Medicago truncatula: one gene and its partner. The protein of the gene in region 2 interacts with the protein of the main gene of each other region in a pairwise test. Links are inferred from orthologs where the notes say so. Each region holds a gene or a part of one and is shown on either strand. Other genes may lie near its edges.

What was found.
Region 1: the proteins of transcription factor TCP15 (region 2) and protein TRANSPORT INHIBITOR RESPONSE 1 interact in binary tests that used the Arabidopsis thaliana proteins (3 or more experiments, as listed by UniProt). The link is inferred for Medicago truncatula from reciprocal best matches to the Arabidopsis thaliana genes TCP14 and TIR1.

Annotation. Positions count from the first base shown.
Region 1 is NC_053042.1:43,739,945-43,748,367, forward strand, and holds protein TRANSPORT INHIBITOR RESPONSE 1, read right to left. Parts: upstream 3,502-8,423; 5' UTR 3,325-3,501; coding exon 2,843-3,324; intron 2,113-2,842; coding exon 1,620-2,112; intron 1,504-1,619; coding exon 709-1,503; 3' UTR 286-708; downstream 1-285. UniProt on the Arabidopsis thaliana protein: Auxin receptor that mediates Aux/IAA proteins proteasomal degradation and auxin-regulated transcription.
Region 2 is NC_053045.1:52,946,765-52,955,035, forward strand, and holds transcription factor TCP15, read right to left. Parts: upstream 3,048-8,271; 5' UTR 2,610-3,047; coding exon 1,296-2,609; 3' UTR 888-1,295; downstream 1-887. UniProt on the Arabidopsis thaliana protein: Transcription factor involved the regulation of plant development. Binds to the Up1 elements (5'-GGCCCAWW-3') in early light-induced proteins (ELIPs, e.g.

The sequences.
Region 1 (8,423 bases), on a different chromosome or scaffold from region 2:
GTCTAGGAAGCTTTGACGCAGTTCAATAACAGACAGAATACAGGGTTTTTTGAAATTAATATAAGACTACTTCAATTAGTGAAGAGAACGAGCCTAAAACGTCCATTTTGATTAACAACAGGCACACAGCCAAAGCTACAGATGATAAAACAGTTGAAATATCTCGAATTTTTCCATTGAACTCAAAAACCTTCTCCCTAGCAGAGTCATTCATTTGTTCACATGCGTTGAAGCCAGGGCATAATTACATGAAATAATCAATATTGCAAACAACAAACAATGATGTACTAGAATACAGATTTTATTCCTTTGCAAAGGTCAATAATAACAATGAGCCCACCAATATCTTAATACTCGACCAAAGTATCATGCATAAAAATTATGCAGAAGTCCTTGAAATAAAAAGGCGAAAATAAATTATATAACAAGTTTTAACAACTCAATCTTATGCCACATACAACAACAAATTTCCGGTTTTATTTGTGATCAGAATCGGTATCTAGTCGCTCAGCCAAAAGTAAAAATTGAATGGCAATCGAGCTCAAGCTTTCTAAGTACACTGTATAACCTCCTTGCTGTACCTAGCTCAGAAACCAACCATAACAGCAGCATAGGACGGTCAACAGATTAAATTCATTGTAGGGTACGTTGAGCCTGTACCTGCCATCACCAAGTCACACATCAAATGTTCATTATTGAGGAGTACAGTCATTCAAGATATGCAGAATCATCTTCCATTGTCCATACATAACCAGGCATGTCCAATCTAGGCCCAGAAATAGTCCTGTATATATATAGTTTCTCCACAGGATTACTATCTGGCCTTAAATTTGGAGGTCCTCTTTCATCAATGACTTCAACATTGAGCCTAGGCAACTTCTGACCCAACAGTTTACATGCTCCATAACTCACTGAGCAAGAGGACATCCAAAGGGATCGCATTGTCTCCAACTTTGCAGCGTTGGCTAAAAGAGCTTTGTCACCAAAGGGGCAGTCCCTGATCTCCAGCTTCCTAAGGTTGTCACACCCAGACAGCACGTGATGGAGTCCCAGATCACTATCTCCAGCAAAAGCCACAGAAAGCATCTCAAGCTTCTTCGCATAAGTCCCAATATGCTCAAAAACACGGTCTGTGAGAAGCCCTGAAAGGGAAAGGCGCTGAAGATCCTTACAATGTTCAACAATAGCTCCAAAACCAGAATCCAGAGATTGAAGGGTGAGATAGTCAGGAGTTCGAGGCTCAATAATACATAATCTAAAACGAGTCATATTAGGCCTGTTCCGAGCTATTGTGTTTAAGGCAGCATTGGTCATTTGACGACAAAAATATAGGACTGAATGGAGCTTGGGGCAACCTTCAGACACAGAAACAAGGCCCTGCTCTGTCAACGCTACATTTGCTTCCAACCCAAATGGGTCAGAGGGAAACACCCTCAACTCCCTCAGATCCTTACACGATGCAGCAAGCATGTCAAGGCCAGCATCTTCTATGTAATCCAGAACCTACATATTAGTAATAACCTTAATCAGCAAGCATTTACATTTCAATTTTGGTATAGTGAACCAACATATGAAGATACCCATGCATTAATTGAAAACATTACATAAACCAGACATACCCATAAGCGCTGCAAACTCTGGCATTGACCCACAAGCTTGATAAGATCCGGGCTTTGGATTGTAGCATAACTCAAGTTCAGTGATGTGAGCCTGGAGCATACAGGATAGACAGCAGGAAGATATGATGGGAGCACGTCCCAAAAGCCAGACAAGCCCTTCATTTGCTTGCACCCAGAAAATGCTGCAGCCAGGTTTGTAAAGACCTCCGGCCGCATCTCGGATGTGTAGGCTCCAGTGCCTAACTCAACCAGCTGTGGAGCCCCACGGAGAAGGTTTGCAAGCTTATCAAGGGGTGCAGCACGATTGAGGCGGAGAGTATGCATGTTAGGACACCTACTAACCAGGCGCTCTAGCGCAGGAAAATTCACCTCGTTTGCTAGGCAAGAGATGTTCAGAGAAACCAAGGATGTGTATGAATCAGGAAAATGGCTTAGCCAATGACCACAAATGTCCTCCACTTCACTCTCCCGCAGGTCCAACTCCCTCAAATTCCTACAATTACCATTAACACAGTAGATTTGTCAATGACACGTTTAAACAGGCACAACAGTTCATAAACCATAATCTTTTTTACTAGACCAAACCTTCAAATTTAGACTCCACACCACCTTCATCATCACAAGACAATAGCCCAAAATTTACCTTTACATATTTAACATTTTAAATGCACCCTAGCATTCATAAAACAATTAGGCCCAGTTTGGATAAACAACTTATTTGCAGCTTATACTATACAAGCTTATCATGATAATGGCACGCTTAAGTATAAAATAAAGTCAAGCTGTTTTAAGCTATAAGCAGTTTATTTATAAAATCAGTTTATAAACAATTGTTTTCATAAGTCCTCCCATCCATTCTCACAAAACTTAACTTATGTTATTATATAAGCTCAACTAAGTCAATCCAAACAGACCCTAAATCAGACAAAAATGAAGTTAATTATCCTACCAGATTCACATTTACTTGTCTCAATAAAAACTCACAAAAAACAAGTATACAATTTTCCAGCACTAAAACCAAATATACCTTTATAATTGCTAAAAACTTGAATTTCCTAAGTAGGTCCTTATTAAAAAGGTATATTACCAAAGTACAATTCTGGATTCTTAATTTCACTCATCATAGTGCAAGCATAGTTTTGAATTCATTTCAGTTAAATTAAATCCAATAAAATTAAAAATAAAAAAAATAATAAAAAATGAGAGAGAAATTGGAAATAAACCTGCAATTGGCGGCAATGGAAGCAAGTCCATCAGTAGTGAAACCTTCACAAGAAATAAGAACCAAAACCTTGAAATTCTTAAACGATTTAGCAATCAAATCCAAACAATCATCACTAATCACCATTCTCTTAAGCTTAATCTCTTCCAAACACGGAAACGCAACCGCCATAGCTTTGATCCACGGACACACGTACCCACCCCAACCTTCCGGCACCAAATTGAAATCCGCAAAGTGCGGCTTCCCCTTCAGCGTAATAGATCTCACCTTCGGAAACCGTTTTATCACCATCGCCGGTGTGATAGCGTAACAGTTTCCGACGAAGACTCTCCGGCGACACCAGCGTTCGATCTCGTACCATGACTTGCATACTAAAGAGATCGAGCCTCTGTCTTTGGTTGAGTCGATGAATGAGAAGACATGTTCGAGAACTTCTTCGGGGAATGAGTACGATAACGCTGCTACTTTCTGCTGCTGCTGCATGACGATGGTGGGAAGAATGAAGAAGAATCTAGAATGTTGTGGTACGAAAATGTACGAAGAGGATTTTGATGAGTTAGATCTGAGTCGCCATTGAAGAGTGCTTGAGGAGAGAGAGAGATAGAGAGAGAGAGGATAAGGAGTTTGTGTTGTGATTGTACTTGTAAACACATACACACACGGTGGTGAGGTTAGAAAGTAACTATGGTTAAATAGGTGTTGTCGTGTGGTGGGAGTGAAGGGGATTCTGTGATTGGTGATTGTGGTGGAGACGCGTGGAGATAAGTGATGAGTGAGTTTGAACCGTTGGATTATTTGTTGAAGATTTGAGAGGAATGGACGGTGAGGATGTGGTGGTTTTGATGGGGTTTTATTATGAGTTATGAGTGAGTACTGTAAACTCTAATGTGTGTGGAAGAGAATCTTATGATTGTTATTACATGGTTTGATTTTATCTTTCGAGATGAATTGTGAGTGGGGACCGCATCTTTTTTGGTAGGATTAAGGTTGTATTACTATTGGTAGTAATCCAGCAAAAATAAATAGTCTTACCGGTAGTATTTACTAAATTATTCGCACAAAAAAAAAAATACTGGTATGTGCGTAAAATGTAAAACTACTTCTTTATTGTCTTAGATGAAGTGATGATCCATTAAAAATAAACTTACATATAATTGTAAGGTCCTGGATTCGAATATGAATCACGCGTTCAGTCTTGTCAGCTAAACACTTCTTGACGTAATACTACCTTTTTACTAATAATAATTTACATAGAGTTATATTAGAAACTAAATATTATTATATTGACTTAACAAAATTTCAAAAAAAAAACTAGAAGGTCGTCTTTGTCGACAACACAACTTTGTTTCGTGAAAAATTACCATACACAACAAAAAGTCAATGACTGTGAGGTTTAGGACGGTAAATTATACTATAAAAGTAGAATCTTTTCATACCCATTATATAATTTGTGTTTAAACTGTCTAAAAGAATTTAGACATTTTTTAAGTAATTTTTATTTTTTATGAAATCGTTATGCATTTATTTAATCAAATTTTATGCTTTAGATATTTATGAACAATGATATTGGAATCAACATCATTTTAATGTGAGTAAGAAAACATCGCTTTAATGTGATTTGATCGCACAGCTTTTATATTTTAACATCTATAAATTTCATACACTTATTCAATATTTCTTTTATCTTGTTTTATGATAACTACCGATGCAAATGTCAGTTTAGATGATCGTCTAGTTCTCTTAAAGTATGTCACGTCCTTACTATCGGTCTAAACCTGTCAAAAAAGTCACGAACCACCAGAGCGTACACCTAAACCTGTCCAAAGCATACACCTCCACAAGACTCACGACACAAGTCAAAAAAGCACCCCTCAACTCACGAACCACCAGAGCATACACCTAAACCTGTCCAAAAACTCGATCCACCAATAACCCGATGCCAAAATCCAAAGACAGAGAAAAGGTGGAACTTAATCTGTTTAAATAACAAAAAGATTGGATTAGGGGTTAGAAGATAAAGGGAGATTAATGTGTAGAAAAAGGACAATTTGTGGTATAGGATGTTAGTGACCTGTTACAAATAGAAAGGGGGTCGATTATATTGTGTGTGTGTGTGTGGTGGTGGGTTGGTTAGACGATAACATAGGACGTAATGGATCCGCTGCACTATTTTAGCAAGATTTATGGTTAGAAGGAGGGACGTTAAAGGTTGGGTTCAGAAGGTTGTATGATTTATCTGAAATTAAACTAGTGATTGTTTCATAAATGAATTCATTAGGTTGGGGAGTGGAAGGAGAGACGTGAAAGTGGAGTAGGTAGTTGTTGACGTGGGAGGAGGGTTAGACGAGGGAGTGTAGTGAGCTAATAAATTTTATTGTTTTGCAAGATGGTACGACGGACAAATGGGTTTGGCTATTACATTATCCAAATGTTACTTCCTAGTGGTGCTCATCAATTTTTTACTTTTGTGAATCATGACAATCCAACACATTCCTCAAATGTTCTTTCGTATAATTTGGTTCCTCTCAAAGTTAATCTCTTCGCACGACATCTTCTTCTAAATCATATTCTCTATCAAAGGTGATTTACTCATAAGGGATGTGCTTAAAGGTAATGATCAACAGTGTGTGGGAGGCGGCGATGTGAATGAAGATATGGATCCAGGGGCGAAGCCTTGTGTTGGAATGGGGTAGCTTTGGCTACACCAAATAATAATTTTGTATTTGAATAAAGTGGATATATTAAGCAATTAACTACCCTGATAATATATAATTAGTTACTACAAATGAGTTTATTTGTCAAAAATTAATAGAAACAAAAACATTAATAGATATCTACTAGTTTCATAGATGTATTTCGCGTTACTTTTACACTTTTGATCTCTTAGTTAACAACAAGAAAAGGCTTATTAACGATAAAAATATCAAGACAACATTCAATATAATTTTTTTTATATCCGGCCCCCCGTGTCTAAAGAAAGCGAGTTTTGCTGTTGTATGGATCACTTATTCATTATATGTGAACCTTTTGGCATAATTTGGTCCTTCATTTCAGATTAGCTTATATTTGTTACAGTAAATCTGGGCTATCTTTTGGATCAAGCTTTTGCAATTTTAAGATTTAGGTAGGTCCTCAAAGAAAGTAAGTTTAGCTCTTAACCTTATTTGGCTCTCATGAGTCTAAGTTATTTGGAAAGAAAGGAACAAGCAAAATTTTCAGCACAAGCAAGAGAGCTTGCACGTGTTATGTGACAAAATCAAGTATCAGTCTTTCTGGTGGTTGAAAGCAAGATATGCAACTTTCGTGTTTGTGTATCACGGCTGACGGCTTAATTCTCTTCATATGTGTTGTCTTCATGTTCTTAGCTTGTTACTTGTCTTGTGTCTCTTTTTGAAGTTTGTTTCGTGTTATAACATATTGTAAACTTTCTTTAAGTCTGTTTCTGACATATTTTATGCTGGAAAAATTTATTTAGTTTGGTTAGGATATTCCATTTTGGCCTCTAAAAAAAATCATATTCGTTTACACTTTCTACTTTATTTAAAAAGTCAATATACAACTTTTCTACACTTTTCAATACCATACTTATATATTTGTTTTTGGGTTAATGTGTCTTTACCCCTGTAATTTAGGCGAGTTTCGGTTTACTCTCTGTAAAAAAAAAGTTTAGCTTTCAACAATGTTATTTAAAGATTCTTTTGAAATAGACCCTATAATTTGAAGATTCTTTCGTTTTAGATCCTGAGACCATTTGACTGTGCAAACATGATGACGTGGCACGCTAAGTTAACATTTTTGGATGATGTGGCGCGCTGATTATATAAGCTAATTTTGTTTTAAATTTTTTTATTTCCATTTATATCAATTCAAAAATAAAAAAAAAACTGAAAATTAATTTTAAAAATAGAAAAAAATTCAGTTTATTTTTTTCAAAATTGAAAAAATCAGAATTTATTTTTTTAAATTTTTAAAATTCGAAAAATCAGAACCAAATTCAGATTTATTTTCAAAAAAAAAAAAAAATTTGAAATTAAGATTTTAAAAATTAAAATAAAATCGATCTTTTTTCAGATTATATAATTTTCAAAATTTTATTTCATATTTTAATCTGAATTATAAAAAAATTATATTCATATTTTAAAAAAAAAATTGGTAGAAAAAATTTTAATTTTTTTTATTTTGAAAAAAATCTGAATATTTTTTTAATTTCAATTCCAGAATTTTTAAATTTTTTTTAGAAAATTCAGTTTTTTCACGATTTTTTTATTTTCAAAAATTAATTTTCAGTTTTTTTTTTTAAAAAAAATAGGCAAAATGCCATGTGTGCCCTAAAAAAATTAAAACATAATTAATTATACAGTCAACATGCCATATAATCAGATATCGTCAATTAGCGCGCTACTCAGCATGCCGCGTCAGCATTTTGTTCAGTTATTTGGCCTCATGGTCTAAAACGAGAAAATCTTAAATTACAGAGTTAGAATATAAATTTTTTTTACAAGATAAATCGAAACTCGCCCAAATTACAGGGATAAAGACATATTAACTCTTATTTTTTTATCCGGTATCCTAGAGGAATCGGTTAAACATTTATCATGTACAGACAAAAAAAATCAAAATAACTATATAGTAGCAGCATCAATTAATCTCGGAATATTTTATAAACTCCGTGAAATAACAATAGCTTAATACTAATAATTCTTAAAAATAAATCTTTGTAATCAGAGTTTTAAGGAAAGTATTTCATCAATTTAAACAATTGAAAATTGTGATCTCTTATTATGTTGGGTAAAACAACAGTGCTCTCAAAAATCAAAATGGTAATGGACGACTGGTTTATAGATGAATGAATTATGAGTGGGGGTAAATGGAAATGATGACAACATACATAGCCGTCCAATCCTATGTGACTGTTTTCATTCTAATTTCTGACAATGAGATAGATATTTGTTTCCACAACAGTTATATCAAACTCATTAACTCACACAATCGACCTATCTTCCCAAAAGACCAAAGTAATGAAATGGATTGATTATAGCACATCTTCTAATCATCAATTCCATTATTTACCGTATGCTATGAGTAGAGTATGAATGAGCCAGCTATCATTTTTTTATTTTTTTTTAAAGAAATGCTAACGAATGCCTTCAAATACTCTTTAAGAGCCTACGATAGTAATTTTTTATGAAAATCTATGTATTTAATAATATATTAAAAATTGAATTGTTTGACTTTTTTAAATAATAACTTCCTAATTTAGCATGCTTAAAGAGTGTCCCGGGGGCACTCGTTAACAAGACCCTTTTTTTATGGGATCTTTTTTATAAATTAATCACACAATTTCAATGCATTAACTAGTATATAATTTCCCTTTTTATATCCTTAATCAGTGCCCCGAGTGCGCCGGTTAACATTTCCCTTTTAAAATTTAAAAAATTGTGTTATATCAATACAAAATTTCTCCTTTTGAAATCCTTATTACGTGCCTTTAGAGCACAAGCACAAGTTAGTAAGATCCAAACATTTAATAATGAAATGTTAGATAAATTTTTTGTCCCTAAAACTATAGAGAATTTTGAATT
Region 2 (8,271 bases):
TTTGGAGGAGACAGTAATTAACAAAAATGGATTGGTAAGGACATGAAATAACTGAGTAGATTCCATTTCCACTTCCACGTTTTTCACTTTGGTGACCCAATCATTCAATAAGACCATCAAAAGTATGGCCCATAAAAAGAACGGTCCTGATTGATGGAATGGTGGGCCGTATCTGAGTAGGGTCATTAAGACTCACCATGGATCTTTCTTTCTGTGATGCCAGCAACTGCTCCATTTAATTTAAAAATTGAAATTTTAAAAAAAAGAACACAGAAGATGGGGAATGATCCACCTGTTTGTCAGTGACATTGTACATTGGTTTGGGCAATAACCAGCAGCTATACCCCACCACCTGAGCCAACACCTGGAAACCGATAAGGTCTTAGACCCCACTTACGTACTATTCCATATTACCCCCCCCCATCCCATCTTTCTTTTACTAAATCTTAATCATTGATGCAGTAAACCTCCTGATTCATGTCACACATTTAGTAGAATCAGAATGATCAAAAAGCAATGTAAATTTACATTATTTAACACACTTCACTTCACTTACTAATAGTAGTTCTAGTACATTTTTTTTTTTTATCTATAGTATAGTCTTAGGGTAACACACTGTTTCATTCCTTTTACCGCACGAGCTTTGTTGTGGCCCAGAAAGAGAGATGGAAAAAAAGAAAAGGAAAAGCATAAATGTTGAAAACAAAAATGCCTGTTAGGTAGGAAACTCAACTCAGCTAGTCGTGTAATGGAATCAAATCAAATAGTAGTAAGTCGTTTTCTTTCTTGGATCTCTCTTCAACATAGAATTATACAAAGCAATGTAATTAAAAAGCTAGCTACGTGGTAAAAAAAATTCAAAAAGAAAAAGTGAATTGCACAAACAATGATGATAAGATATCCTGTAGTAGCAGTAGTGAACTGAAATAATTCAAGGAACACATTTTTTTTTTTTGCCAGAGGAAAAGAACAAAAAAAGTAAAGCAGGCAGCCAAATACCCCAATTGTTAATTAAATAGTGACTCTCATCTTCCAAACCCTAAAATACTATCTTGTTTTCTCTTCACTTCTCCTGAATCATTCATTCTCTCTTCCAAAATCTTAATCACACCAAAAAATTAATTTTGGGAATAATAATAATAATAATTAATAAACAATAAAACTCAATTTAGAATAAGATCAAACAAACCTCACGTGTGTGTTAAAATTAAACACATCATCAAATCAAACTACTAGACAAGTAATGTAAGAAGAAGAAGAAGAAGCAGAAGATGATGATCTTGTAGGAGCTGTGATTAATTATCATGTCGATCATCGTGTTCATGGCTACCACTGCGATGATGATGTGATTGTGATCCACTTGGTTGATGGTGTTGTTGATGATGATCGGAAACCGGACGATAAGGACTAAGACCAGCAAGCATACTCAAATGTCCTTCATTCATATTCATATTCATATTGATATTCCCACCACCACCACCACCACCGGAAGAATTACCTAATTGTTGACCTGGTAACAAAGCCATAGGTTGTGGAAAATTCATAAAATGCAAACCACTAGTTGAAACTGCTCCTCTATACAAAGCAGCAGCACTATTATTCACTGACGGAAAAGTCCATATAGGATCACCACCACTCATTATTTGGTTATTAGAATTTGCAACCATCCATATATTTGCCGGAATCTGAGTATGACTTGCTGGAATTGAACCTGCACTTGATTGCATCAGATAACTCCCCATTTGATGTTGTAATGATGATAAATCTTGCTCACTGCCACCACTGCTAGTTCTTCTTTTTCTTCCTCCCATGGATTCTTCTCCACTTGTTTCAGATAAATCTAACGTGGTTGATGAAGAAGGAGCGTTCGCGTTAGCGTTTGAGTTTGTGTTTCCATCTCGAACCTCTTGTTTAGCCTGCAACATATTTGTTAGGTTATTTGATTGGAAATTCAAAAGCATTGAAGTGTTGTTGTTGCTGTTGTTATCTGAAGGAGATAAACCAATTCCAGGAAAAAGAGTTCTTCGTTGTTGAAGTGAGAAATTCGGGTTGAAGTAAGAAGATCTTAGCTGAGATGGAACAGACATGGATGAGCCTGAGCTACGAAGTGAGATATTGAGAGATGTGAAGTTAGCAGGTATAGTTCCAGTACCAGTGGCGGCTATAACAGCTGGTTCAGCTTGTTGAAGAAGCCATTCAATGGTTTCACCATCAGATTTATGGCCAAGTTCGCGTGTAAGCTGAAAAACTCTAGCAGCACAAAGTGCCGGCATTCGGATGCGGCGGCCACGGCCTTCTACTTTGGTATGACGGTCTTTGGTGGAAGTTCTTTTCGGAGGAGGTTTTTTGTTGGCAGGGTCAGAGGTTGTTGGTGTTGATGCTGGGACTAGTTGGTTGGATCGGTTTGAATTTGATGTACTTGGTTCTGTTGGTGAGATTGCTAGGGATGGATATGGAGAAGAAGTTGAACATGATGCTGCTTCTTGGTTATCTTCTTTCTTCTCAAGAAGTTGAAATGGAAAATTTTGTCTTTGTTGTTGTTGGTGTTGGTGGTGGTGTTGATGGTGCTGGTGGTGGTGATGGTGGTGGAGATCATCTCCTCCATCCATGATCGCATGGATAGTAAAAAAAAATAAAAAAAATAAAAGTGAGTTTGATATATGAATATGAGAGAGACTTGTGTTGTTGTGTATGATAAGTGAGGTTATAGTAGTTTAATATGTATGGTGGGTCTTTGTTCTCATTTTGAGGGGGAGATATGGGTGTGTTGTTATATTTGTTACTTTGTTTAGGTAAATGAAGGAATTTGCTTTGGAATTGATGTGGTTAAGTTTAAGAGTAGAGAGAGAGAGAGAGAGATAGTGAGAGATGAGATAAGGAGGAGAAGAGCTTTAAGCAACAAAGATAATGAGTGGGAATTATATGGGTGAGCTTTAAAAAGCATGATTTTTTCCAGAAAAGAAATTGCTTTCTTGAGTTGTGGTGTTCATGAGCTTTTTCATTATAACTGATGAGTGGGATTTATTTATTTTTTATATTTTTAATGAAGATATTTTTAGATTTTAATCATTCTGCTTGTATGGAAAGATGAAGATTTAAGCTGGAAGTAGAAAAAAATCTAATATTTTTTTTGTTTGAATTTAATTTAATTTTGTGTGATGGAAGGAAGAGAGTAGAGTAGTATTGTGTTGTTCCCTTTTGATTATGGTTGGACAGCGTCTTTGGTTCAGACTCCACGTGAGGTGCTCTTTTTATCATTCAATCCATAAAGACAATGGTGGCCAAAGTGGGACCCGATCCCAAGTCAAAAAAAAATAAAATTGAAAGACCTGGAAAGGAAATATTATCAATTGGGTCCCATCTCATTCATGTAATCATTTCATTTTGCCTTTTCTTCTTCACCTTTGCTCTTCAACTTTGCCCCTTTGCTTTTCCTTCTTCTCTCAATACATGGACCTAATTAGAGAGCGTTTACATTTTGTTTTGCTTAGTTTATTTCACATCAACTATACATTCTTCTAATGTAATTACAAACATCTTGGTCCCTAACCAACCATATTTATAGTACTGTATCCCTTCGAGTATCCAAAATTAGATTCCTGTTTATCACTTTAATTTACTCTCTAAGGATGTTTCGTGGTCAATAATTATCAAATACCTATTACAAGTCATTCAAAGTTTTAATTAAATTGCATATTTGCATACATATACATATCCCATTACACGACCAAACCTCTCAATCAATTTCTCCTTTTTTTCAATTTAACAATCAAATCAACCAAATAGCATTTTTCCACTTTTAAGTAAATTTAATACCACTAAGTGTATAAGATATCAAAAGGGTTACGTTTTAAAATTTCAATTGTGGAAAATGACAAGATAATATACATATAAGGTATTTTAGAGGTACTCAAAAATAGATGCTATTGGGAGTTATCTTCTACAGACTTAGGACCACAAAGTAGCACATGGAAATGGATCTAAATCCTTGTAAAGTTTCAGAGAGAACAAGCAGTCACTATGTGTTGTTTATAAGGGAAGTCTATTTCAACATTTTTATTGGTTAGAATTCGATTGAATCCTCATGAGTTTTTTCCTTTACTTGAAGTTGAGGCTGACACTGTTCCTTTTCAGCTCATGTGAGCAAATTAAATTAACTACACAGAAACCAATTTCATTTTCTTTGCATTTAAGAAGAGGCTATCTATATAGTTTCTTATTATAGAACTTTTTTTTTTTTTTTTGAGACCCTATTCTCATAGAACTAAACTAGCTCATAATAATAACAATTAAATTGACAGTTCGATTGATATTATTTGTGACATATATATGTAATGGAAACAAATAAGGCTAGCAAAAATGCTAGCTTTCCTTGTATTGAACAAGACATTGAATTATCAATTGTAGGAGAAAAATTTATCAGTTGTACTTTTAGTTAGTCTTAAATACAGTGAAGTTGCTTCTGTTTTTATCACATGCAAGGGCAATGCAGGCATAACGACAAACGTACAACACCTTCCCTAGCAGAAAATAGGTCAATTTTCCTTTCTGAATTAATTGTATATAGTATCATATCATCAAATATAAATTATTGAGACCGTATAGCTGTAAAAGTAAACAAGGATAACAAATTCAACGCAAAATCCTATTTACCGATGTATACATTTTGCTTTTCACCTTAATTTGTCATTATATAATCCAAATTCTTTGACATAATGCAACTAGGGATTAAAATATATTGTAAGAATTGAAGATCCCTATTAATATTTTATTAAGAGCTAATCACAGAAATTTGTAATCAACTAGGTTACATATAAAGATAATAAACATTCTTATTATTGGCAACTTTAAAACAATATTGAAAATCGACATCCTACCTACTCTATAATTTTTATTTGTTTTTTTATAAAATAAAAAAATTCAATAAATGCACAACATAATTTCTATAAAAAAAAAAAAAGGGAAAATAATTTTAGGACACAATACAAAGTGCCCACGTGAGAGTCCTCAGGCTTTTACACCGCATATGTAAAAGCTCTTGTCGCCAAATTACATGCCAATAAAGGGAAAGACTAACATACCGACAGGTTGACAAATTTTCAAATGCTCTATTCAATCCTTGATAACGACTCTAAACTCAGTAGTAATATTTGATTATAGTCAAAATCAAACTTATATATATATTTATATATACTATTTAATTTCGATGAAAGAAAAAATTAAGCTCACCACTAGGAAGAAAATATGATAAATATACTTCCTTAAACTTATAACATTTCCTTATTTTTTTATTGTGTGAGGGTGATCCTAATGTAAACTAAATATTTGTTACATAATTATTTACCGCAAATTCATTCAACATCTTAAGAGAGAAAGGAAAAAAAATGTGATTAAATAGATTTGATATGTTAGCAATATGATAAAAAGAGAGTGATAAAGAGAAAATTAAATCTTATATGAATGTTGAGAAAATTAAGGTGTTCAAGCATAATGATTCAGTAAAAATATGTAAACTAAATACAAATATTTACGATGGACACAAGAAATAAAGAGTAATGGTAGATGGACGTCCTACATAAGGGCACTCATTTGACACCCGATCATTGGTGGTGGTCGGTCAGCAATCCCACAATGATTGGAGGTGGAACTCTGGTGGTCTTACGGTGGTCAGCCGCTTCCCACTACTATTGGTATTATTAAATAGTTTTTCACAACATTATATTATATTTATCCAACTCTTTAACGAATTCACACTTTTTTTTATTTATTTAAACTCTATTTTATGTCAAATTAAATTATTCATTTCAATCACAAAAGAATAAAATTTAGTTTCATCAAAATAATGGCTTTTGTGCACTTCACCCTACATCAAAAATAGTAACTTCCCTTTCAAAGATAAAAAACTGTCACACATCTTTTTTGGAATAACACTGGTTTTCTTTCTTTCTTAACACTTTTTTTACACTTGACACTTTTTCTCTTAATCAAAAAACACTTCACCCCCACACCAAGAAAACTCTCTCTATATACTCAGAAACTTACTGACTTGTGTCTGCATCACTCAAGACCTTGCCTCCCTCTATATATATCTCAACACCTTTTTTATTATCATATTGTTTATAACCGATTTTTTTGTCTAAAGAAATTCAACAAAATTCAAAACACACTAATTGTTTTATTTTGTGCGACCGCAGAAGTTCGAACAAGTTAACAAGTAGACTCATAGGCTTGATGGTTGTTTTTGAAATAGGTTGAAATATCTCTAAATTAGATTTGGATTTTATGGTTGAAATAGGTTGAAAACGGTTTCAAGTCTAATTGCTAAAGAAAAAAAAAAGACTTGAATGAAAATGACGATCAAATTAAAAACAACTTGAAAGATAAAAGGCCAAGAAAGTAAATGAATTGAAATATAATGCTTTCGAAGGTAAAATTACTTAAAATATAAAGTATTATGAATTGAAATTAAAAAAAAAAAAGATTTAAAAGACCATGAAAGGTATACTTAAAGTTCAAAAAACTTGGAGTTTGTTTTTGGTTGGGAGTATGCTTCAAAAATTAAGTATTCAACCATAAAATTTGATCGTCATTTTCATTCAAAGTCTTTTTTTTTGTCATTGAAGTAGTAGTCACTCAGTAACTACCACTCCAATGACAAACTCGGTTGTAGTAGTTACTTTAGTGAGTTAGATAGATTGTGCGTTGTGGATCGACAAACACCTTAAATTTGCTCTTCGTCGGCTGATACTCTATCAAATTTAAGTCTTCATATATATAACATGTTCGGGAAAAGTACATTTTCTCCACTACTCTCATTAATAGGAAGTGCGATGAAGCTCGTCATGCTCTACAAATGTGTTTCGCAATTCAGAGTTTTTTCATATCCGTGATTATTGTTGCATCTTCTTGTATTTTCGTTCAAAACTTTGACTTTATGTTTACTCTTTGTCCATTTCAACAAACTAAAATTTCTCCAATAAACATACGATAAAAATTCTAAGAGAGCCGAAACACATTGTAATAAGTTATTGCTTGGGATTTGATAGTTTTCATGGAAACACTTTGTAATAAAAATTCTAACAGAGCCAGAACACAATTATCTATATTCAACAAGGGCCTAATAAAATTAAGAGGTGAAGTCCACCATTGAGTTCTATATATAATAACCTCGGGGAGGCTCCTAGAGTTCTGTATTTGTTAGAAACTCAAATAATTCTCTTTCAAAAAAAAAAAAAGAAACTCAAATAATTCAAAATGTACCTTATATTAATAATAATATAAAAATATATTTTGTTTGAATATATTATATATGTTTCATTCATGTTCACATGAACAATCAGTCTTTTGGTAAAACTTATTAACCATTTTACCTCAATAATTTGATTATAAAAGAATTTACTTTATATGCACTAAAAACCTAAAACAGTAAAATAAAAAAGCATTGTTCTTAAAGTATTTTTAATATATACAATTGTGTATGTCTTAAATAATTTATATATATACAATTATGTTCAAACAAATATTGCTCTTGAAGTATCCCTAAAAAAAAAAAAAAAAAAAAAAAAGCATTGCATTGAAGTGGAACAATATGTAATGTTGGTATTATGCCGAAGTAAAAATAAACGAAGGACACAAATATACTTGCTCTGTCCTGTCCACGAGGGCATGCCAGAGCTGCATTGCTGTGCAGAGAAGTGGACCATATACATATTAACTGCTTGCTACTACCTTTTTTCTAATACCACATACTACATGCCTTGCTACTTATATGTATGTCATGTTCAAATTGACACCTTACCCTTCTCAATATCTATATATAGACTCTTTTTATTTTTATTTATTTGATAAACTAAGAATATATACATGTGGATATATCTAGTGCCACATGAACTGTATTTTAATTTCCTGATTAATTGGACAAGGTATCTAGCAACCCAACATTATATATATTATATATATCAATCTCAGAGCTAGCTAGCTAGCAAGCTGCTCAGTCAATGCATGTTTGGTCCCACTTTAGTTCAATTTAGCAAAGTGCAACCGCTATCTATTTGAAAAGTATTTAACCTAAATTGAATCCAATCAAATATATTTATTTATATAAAAAGAAAATTCATGGTGAGTGAGGATATTGGATAGTGACGGTAGCTAGCTAGAGAAATCAATTGGTATTTATGTGTTTGGTGGTTGCTGTCATTCACACTTCAAAGTGGACGCGGATTCCACTATATACTTCTTTCTTTCTTTTTTTTCATGTCACCACAATTCCCC